2 linked regions of the Nothobranchius furzeri genome follow. The protein of the gene in region 1 interacts with the protein of each later gene in a biochemical or structural test. Links are inferred from orthologs where the notes say so. Each region holds a gene or a part of one and is shown on either strand. Other genes may lie near its edges.

Region 1 (4,515 bases):
TTCTTCTCTGTTTTCTGTGGAGAGAAAATAGAAAAACTTTTATTTTTAGGTGGTTTCAGAAAGCAGGAACAAATAAAACTCATCTAAAGTTCAGGAGAAGAGGCTCTCACTGCCTCGAAATAAACACTGAGATTAATCCGGAAATGTGTTTCAAACCAAACTTGTTTCACTAAATAAAAGTAGATCAAAGTGGCCACACCAGAGCTGATCTTCTGTCCGATGCTGTTGGGGATCGGGCACTGGCGGCTCTCCCGACTGAACCACTTGTTGGTCGTCGTGAATCTTCGGATTGTAAGCCTGAAGGTTTGAGGCTGGCGGCCATCTTTCTGCATCCTGGTTTTTATAAAACAAGACAAAGTAGAAGCGGCAAGTCTTCATTCAAAGATTAGAACCATGGATCCATTGATGAGGTGCTGAAACTGGTCCTGACCTTTCTACCAGACTGCTCAAGAGCTGCTGAATCTTTTCCACAACTTCTTTAGTTGAAGACATTTTTTTGAAGGAATCTTCATCACTGAGAGACTGAACGATGAAGAGGACATTAATGCAACTGATAAACACCATTTCCTGATCAAGCAGCATCTAAAGACAGATTCACACCAATACATTGATAGTTTCTGATATGTAATCTTTATTATTGGAGATATTGTCCTTAGTTAAACCTACTTTTATTGCATAAAATTAATGTCAGTGTAATAATCCTACAAAATTCTACTTAAAGAGCAAGTCACCCCCTACCAGAGCATTACTCCACTCCCACTTCCTGTTTGAAAAATGCAACAAATGCTGTTACCTAGCAGACAGAGAAGGCGGAGCCGCTAACAAATACACACAAACAGGCTCACAACGACATTGTGACATCATATGGTACCAGCTAATGTCCTAGGTTACCTCTTAGCCAATAGCGATGGCAGATTAAAATTCAAATGCAGTGCAGAGTTTTCCCCGACAACGGCACAACACCGACAGTTTTAAGCAGAAAATTTAAACTTTAACTAAAATGCACTAAAGTGCAAAACTATTGACTACACGTGTCTGCAGCACGATTAGACACGCGTTTATATAGTTTATCAGAAAAATAAAGTTGATTAGGGGGTGACTTGCTCTTTAAATAGACATAAGTCCAAATCTATTCACAGCTTCATGGCGGTCATTTCTAATATATGATAAATAACTAAATGCTACTTAAGGATAAACGTGTTAGAAAGTCTTTGGGGCCTCTAAATTCACCTGAGGGGCTCCAGAGGGGGTGACAGGAGAATCATCAACACCTAGCACCAGATTCTTCAAGCGCTGAGCCGTAGGACCTCCAAACTGCTTCGCTAAGTCGTTTAAAGGGTAAACCTGCAGGTCTTTAACACTGACCAATCCCAGAGATTGAAGTTTTTTAGCAGTTTGGTGACCCACGCCTGAAAGAAATCACAGAAACACAAAGTTGTTATTTAATACACAAATTAAAGTTTTTTCCACCCTTAAATACCAGCTCTGAATCAGAATATTTTTCTAACGTGCATACCCGGTACTTTTCGGAGGCCGCTCAAGCAGCCCATAATGTCGCCAACGTTCTCCTGCAGTAAAACGGTTTGCTGGTTTGGTTTGAAGGTGCCAGAAACAAGTTTGGCCAGCAGCTTGTTTGTGGCGATGCCAGCACAGCCAGTCAGGCCGAGTTTGCCGCGGACGGCTTCTCTCAGCTCTGCTGCGATGTGAGAACCTAAAGCCAACCTGGGGTGGTCGCTGGCTTTAGCATCAGCACCTGAGCAAGAACGGAGAAAAAGAAAAAAAAATCTAAAATGGAACGGTTAGAGTGACACTGAAAACGGCATGCAAATACGTCACAAATGAACTCTTTCACAAGTTATCTTTCAGTTTCAGTGAGCCAGATGTGCAGCGGCAGACACACAACTCACTGGAGTGATTGTAGACGCGTCCTTTGAAGGAAAAGCAGCCAGGCTCTGCTGTCTGTTTGAGCTTTTGTTCCACCATCTCTGTGACATCCATGAAGTTTTCATCAAATCCAAGCCTCTCAACCAGGGGACAATAAGACATCAGCAGCTCTGAAAGTGAAGGTGAGCAGAAAACATTTATAATTTATGCATTTTTGATGTTAACTAATTTAAACATCAGCTTTTTTCTCCCCACAATAACAATAACAGAAGACAAGGACACATTTCTTGTAGCAGCTCAGCTGCGATATAAATTTGTATCTTCTTTACTGACTTCTGTGACACTTATTTTTAATTTTCCAGTTTTGATAGCAAAAGGCGCTCTTTTATTATTATTTTTTTTTTGGCTGCATATGATAGTTTAAGGTTTAATGTGCTTCCTGTTGGGATTTAATAACTAAAATCAAACAGCCAACAGCACATTTTTCCCCACAAAAATCAATCTGATGTGTTGGAGGATATAAAATTCTCTAAATAGGTAAGAACGGCTACCTGTCACTTTATAGGACATTTCTCTGTAGTGTGTCAGGTCTTCTCCGTTAACCAGCACCAGCTCGGGACACTTCTCCTTTGCGTCAGAGACAGACATCAGCTTGGTAACACCCCGCCCCCTGGCCATGTAGTTACTGGTGACTATGATGTATTTCTGCTGAACACCTGAAGACAGAAGTGTTTAACCTTCACAGAAACTCAGCAACTTTAATATTCCATAATAATATTTTAGGTTTACCTAAAGGCACGCATCTCAGAGCTGGATTTCTTATCATTTCCACCTGAGCGTAGAAGCAGTCCAGGTCAAAATGCAAAATGACTCTGTGTGAAGGAGCTGATGATGCTTTAACAGCTGATCCTGAATATAAGACACAGAAGTTATCTTCAAATCAAGCTGAAGCACCAAAAACTTACAATTTTACCAGAAGCGACTGAGGAGGTGGAAAAGAGAGCTGCTGAATCCACGAAGGAGTTTTTCCACTCGCTAAGTTCTTCCTCCATCTCATCGTCGCTATTATTGATTTTAAAAGACTAACGTGATGGCGTTAACATCACGTTCAGCATAAATACATGCTTTTGTTATTTTGTTTACAGACAGTTCCGCTGCGCGTGTGCGCAACAGCGCCACTGGCCGGCCCGGAGAAGATATTGCAACACACCAAACAGCCAAAGACATCAGGAGAGAAAAAAAAACACATAAAAATGTATGAATGTTGATAAACTTTACAAATGTTGTTTATATAATGTAAATTCCGCATTTATATCAGGGCTTCCAGCATTTGCAAAACTCTCAGGGAACTGTTATTTTACTTTATTTGTCTTTTTTTATTTTATTTAATTATATGCAAAATGTATGAATATAAATTTATAAAAACTGCTAAAAAACTGAACTGTCTGGAGCACTATAGCTAGCTGGGCTTAGCACTTTCACGTCACAAAAACATAGTGTTTTCTGTTACATAAATACAGTTAATAATTATGTTTACAGCTAAATAAATATAACAAAAGAAAAAGTATGTTAGCGTTGAGAAGATCTTTTATATAGAGCCTCTCAAGATAAAAATCACGAGGTGCTTCACAAAAACAAAACAATTAAAGTATAAAAATATGTTTAAATGACTAAAAATATGTTTAAAAATAGAAAAGAACAAAAAATAAATAAATTAGAAGAAAGGAAAGGGAGAGAGAAAATGAATAGCGAGACGCCTTCATGCTGCTGCCAAAACGTTTTAGTGTTTTAATAAGAAAGATTTTACAGGAGGAGTTTCTTCTTCCTCTTTCTCGCCATGGGAGCGGAGGAATTGTTTTGGACGCCTATTTTCAACTTCTATCTCTTCTACTGGTGTAAATAATTATTTTCAGTAAATTTCCTACTTTATGTTTTTATTTAGTAATTTTAGATTATATTTAGTCATATTTGACATTGCTTTGCCATTTTTGTACTGTTCGATCACCCGTAGTTTTGTCTTTTTTCGGCTGCGTTTTTCACTGAGGCTTTTTAGTTTTTTACGTTAGATTGGTTTTTGTAAATAAACCAGGAAACCTTCTAGAAAGAGGAAACTTCTCTCAAAAGTTGTTGATGAGGAGCAAGATGTGCCCACATTGTTTTTCCATCCCAAATGCAGTAAGTATCTCTGCACTAAACCCGTTCCAGTTTCTGTTGTCTAGTATTTCTGCTAATACTATTACTATACTATTATATACTATTACTGCAACTTCCAGAAAAACAAAAGGTCCATGTACATCTGTGGTGAGGATTCAGGTGTGGATGAAGATGATTTGCCATCACAGCTACAGTATATTTATCTACAGTTTAATTAATTTTTTTTTACAGTTTTCATTTTCTAGTATTTACCAGTTATAATCGGTATGTTGCTCTTGAGGCTAACAACAACAATAACAACAACAACAACAAACAATTTCCAGTCAGTCGTAGGTTGCAGTGAGGCAGCGTGATGAATCATGGAGAGGAGGGAACAAGGAGTGGACAGTAGAGAGGGGGGACGGGTGCAGGGAGGGTGCTAGTTTAGAAGACGCTCTGTGAAGAGCAGGGTCTTCAGGAGTTTCTTGAAAGTGGAAA
Region 2 (4,250 bases), on another chromosome or scaffold:
GTTCAGCCTGAGAGAACCGAGTGAGATCTCCCATGTTCTCCACTCCCAGGGTTTCTGTAATCGACACGCCCAGCTTACCCCCCAGGTTTCGACTGCACAGGAGAAATTAAAAGTACACGAGTACAGACTTGTATTTTTCCACTGCTACATCAGAAGATCGGCGTTTTTGTGATGATTAAATTCTTGTGAGACTTTAAACTCACATTTTACTGACAGGCAAAGAGCTGAAAAGTTCCCCCACAGAGTCCAAAGGTAGAATGGTTTGTCTGTTAGGTTTGTTCAGCCCACAGGCCAGCTTTGCCAACACCTTAAAAGTAGATGGTAGACCATGATGGCTGCAATAAAATGAATGTGGCGTCTGAATTGTAATAGAATTTACCGTACCTTGTTGTGTGATATTCCCGCTGAGCAGCGGAAGCCTGTGTGTTGTTCCACAGCTGCTCTCATTTCCTCAATAATGAGAGCCCCCACGGTTAGCTGCAGCTCTGCAGAGCTGTGCTCCCCCGAAGATGGAGCAGGTAAAGATGCCAGCCACTGGAGGAGACCTCTGGATCTCTTCTCCTCTGCGGATAAAAATCAAGACTATTTACACAAATTCAATTTATAGTTTTAACATTTTAGATGATGTTACTTCCAACTAGGGCTGAAACGATTCCTCGAGTACCTCGAATAATTCGAGTACAAAAAATCCTCGAGTCAAATTCTCTGCCTCGAGGATTCGTTTAATTCATATTTAATTAATTCGTGGCTTTGCAGTCGCCCGTGGTCATGTTTCACCCGGACTGAAATAAGTGACGCACATGCCCACTGGACTGCACACGCGAGTAGCGAATGTAACTTAACTTTCTCTTAAGCCATGGCGGACAACGTGGACCCCGGTGGAGTGCGAAAAAGACAGAAAATGTCAAGATGTGGGACCATTTTTCACGTCGTTAGGCGGAAAACGTACTCCAGTGTAAATACTGTAAAATGGATTTAGCCTAGCACAACACCACATCCTCCATGCTGCTGCAGCGCCTGTAAATGTCACTTCTGCAAGCGGACTCGGAGCCTCTACAAGATAATGCATTTTAGCCTGTATTTCCATATATTCTGCGGACACTGTGCGACTTTTTCGTTTGTAGCACTTAGTTTCAGCTCACACCGTACGTCTGGTAGCAACACGTCGGACTTAAAATGTGCTAAAAAATAGCATTTTTACACAAAACGTCGGACTTTTTATTGTGTTATTGATGTTTGTTGTCCCTCGGGATTGCTGCAGGAGGACACGGGTATTTATGAGAGGAAAACGAAAGAAAGTAAATAAATGTTTTGTGATCAGTATAATTTGACAAAACCACAGCAAACATGCTTTCTCGACAATCCTTGTTATTGTGTGAGTAAAAACGTGTTGAAATTAAAACGGACGTGTGTTAATAGGGAAACAGCCGGCGAGCTGTTTGCGCATGCACCGTGAGCGGTTCTGGTTCTGTTTGGGCCGCAGCCGCTCGCAGCGCTACTTCCAACAGTTATCCTCCTAGTTTCTGTCTGGCTTGCAGGCTAGCAGATTCTCGCACGAGGGGAAAATCGGCTCAGGTTGTGTACTTATTTTTTGCACAGCCATTTGTTTACTGTGAAGTAAAGTTGAAGTGCTGAAGTTTTGAAAACTAATTTTGAATAAAACTTGAAGAATAACTGGCAATTGCTTGCTCATTTTAACAGGTCTTTCATAATTATAACATGCTATTTGATATAATGGTTTACAAATACAAAAGGGTAATTTATTAGAGTACTCGATTAATCGAAAAAAATATTCGATAGAGTACTCGATTACAAAAATATTCGATAGCTGCAGCCCTACTTCCAACACAGAGTTTAATGAGTAACAGATTAGTAGTTTACCTTTACCCAAAACAGGACCTTCAGGGCCACCTGCAGAAGACGGTTCTTGGCTACTTTGTGGAAACCCCTGGATGTAGGTGGTTTTAAGAAGGCTGGGCTCTATTTGTATGTCAGCCATGTTTTTCAGCCTCTGCTGAACAGCAGCTGTCAAATCCATGTAGGCCTCGTCAATGCTGGCCCGCTCGATCACAGCGAAGCGAGACATCACCTCTATCACCTCCACACTAGCGTCCCTGTAACTAAAACAAGTGACTATGCTTTATTATGTTTTTATTCACAAGTAAGGTTTAATAAAATATGGATTTACTATTTCAACAAAAAGCAACAAGGAAATTTGAGGTGTGTATGGTCATCTACACTTACGGAGTTAGATCTGCTTTGCCACGAGACTCGCGAACTCTGGCTACCTGGAGATCTGTACTCAACTGCTTAGCATCATCCACCCACATGGTCTTGGTAACACCGTGAGCCCTGGCCTCGTAGCTCACAGCTATAATACTAACAGAAGATATTATCAGGAATACATTTTTAACATTTGCACAAATAGAGGCTTCACTTTGCTCCTGCTTTTGCTACAGTGACATGTATAGATACGTTTTGAGGAGCTTGTAATGTTTACTAAGCTGAAACTAGACATTGTATACCACACCAAATAGGAAAATAAAACACAACTTCCGGTTTCAATAGGCGCAGCGTCAACTTATCCAGATGAGGTTTATTTTATGGTTAAAACACATTTTGTGCCGGAAACTCACCCGCCTCCTTTCCACGTCTTGTATTGTGCCACCACGCAGGGAATGTTCTTCAGGGCTGGATTCAGTCGCTGTTCCACCTGGACGTAAAAACAGTCCATGTCGACCAGCGCCACCACTCTCTCCTTCCCGTATTCCATTAGAAACCTAAAGACTTCGTCACTTAAAATATATCCGCCCGTTACGTAGGTCAGGTACAGCTGGAGGAAGGTATGTATATTAAGAACAAGTAAAGAATGCGTCTAAATTCAAAGCTATTAGATTTCGCGCAAAAAATCCCAACCGCAAACGTCATCAAACGTGGACAGTCAAGGAAAATCTGTGTTACGTTGAAATATGTCCCCCGCCTCGAAAAGTGCGTATATTTGTTCCCCTTTGATATTAAAATCAACGTTTATGATTAAAATTGTGTTAAATTATATTTATAACGTTTAACCTATTAAAATGTGTCATTTTATCCCTGTGGTAGGCACATTTTAAAGCAACCTCATCAAAGCACCGTAAAACAGTAAAAAGAAAAGGTAGGATTTTGGAGATAAATATCAGTAAAATACAAATATAAACATAAAAATCTAATATTATTAATGATAAGAAAACATTAAACAATACGGCCAAAAATAGATTTCTGTTGTGTTCTGACTCTTGAAGGCAGCAGAACACTGCTGATATAGATATAGAGGTGCTGTGGAGAGTTCAGGGAGTTCCAGAGATGTGCTGAGAGAAAAAATGAACGTCACTCCTCCCTGTAATAAAGAAAGTTCATATAGACAAAGTTATTGCCTACCTGCTTGCCACCAACCTCAAAACGTAACAGCCTGCCTAATAAATTACACTAAAAGAAAAAAGGTGATTTGAAATAGGCAAATGTCTTGCCAACACTTGAAGTACTGGAATGCATCATTAAGTGGTAAAATCCGGAATCACTATTCATACAGTTGTGCAAGTATTTTTTTATTTAGTTATTATTTTTTTTTCTAAGTAATTTGGGGCTGATTGTTGCACTTTATGAACTAACTTCAATAGCTTTTCTTTTATTTGGGCAAACAAGTCAGAAAATGAATTCACAACATTTCAAAAGTGAGTTCATTAAAAGATAATTCAAGTTTAAATATTTACTGAAAATTGCACTTTGAGGAACATCCTTGTTTCCTTAGCCTGGTTCTCTTCTCAGATTGTTTAATATTTTCTCTTTTAAAACAAAGTCATTCCAACAGCTATTTTTTCCTAAAGTTATTGAGAATATACTGTATGAGTGTAGACTGAACAGATGGCAACAAATGGAAAATGTCAGTTTTCTGAGGGTAATAGCTTGTCAAAACATATTGGAAAAAATAAGTAAGCACTAGTTTTTTTAACTATGAACCCAATTTAAAAAAATCAATTATAAACTGAATTAGTTATGAACTGAACTGTGAAATAGCTCATCTTTAAAGCAACGTTCCCCCACACTGATAAATAGTTTGTATAAGTGAAGACATTCTGGCTTTATCTAAACTAGCTATGCTGTTAATGCTCATTTTAAAACTGTAAGTTTTATTTTGAAATAATCTATAGGAAGTGGTAATGAATAGCCTACTGACAGTAATTAACCCGGAATATCAGTATATTATATTTTCT

Evidence for each region.
Region 2: the proteins of poli (region 1) and polh interact in far-western blotting, tested with the Homo sapiens proteins (2 studies listed by BioGRID). The link is inferred for Nothobranchius furzeri from reciprocal best matches to the Homo sapiens genes POLI and POLH.

Annotation. Positions count from the first base shown.
Region 1 is NC_091750.1:42,537,141-42,541,655, reverse strand, and holds the start of poli (DNA polymerase iota), read right to left. Parts: upstream 3,047-4,515; 5' UTR 2,937-3,046; coding exon 2,858-2,936; intron 2,794-2,857; coding exon 2,674-2,793; intron 2,601-2,673; coding exon 2,436-2,600; intron 2,055-2,435; coding exon 1,908-2,054; intron 1,754-1,907; coding exon 1,517-1,753; intron 1,410-1,516; coding exon 1,231-1,409; intron 523-1,230; coding exon 431-522; intron 334-430; coding exon 200-333; intron 15-199; coding exon 1-14. UniProt on the Homo sapiens protein: Error-prone DNA polymerase specifically involved in DNA repair. Plays an important role in translesion synthesis, where the normal high-fidelity DNA polymerases cannot proceed and DNA synthesis stalls. Favors Hoogsteen base-pairing in the active site.
Region 2 is NC_091752.1:33,811,729-33,815,978, reverse strand, and holds the start of polh (DNA polymerase eta), read right to left. Parts: upstream 2,989-4,250; 5' UTR 2,774-2,988; coding exon 2,637-2,773; intron 2,380-2,636; coding exon 2,245-2,379; intron 2,121-2,244; coding exon 1,882-2,120; intron 564-1,881; coding exon 385-563; intron 308-384; coding exon 204-307; intron 93-203; coding exon 1-92. UniProt on the Homo sapiens protein: DNA polymerase specifically involved in the DNA repair by translesion synthesis (TLS). Due to low processivity on both damaged and normal DNA, cooperates with the heterotetrameric (REV3L, REV7, POLD2 and POLD3) POLZ complex for complete bypass of DNA lesions.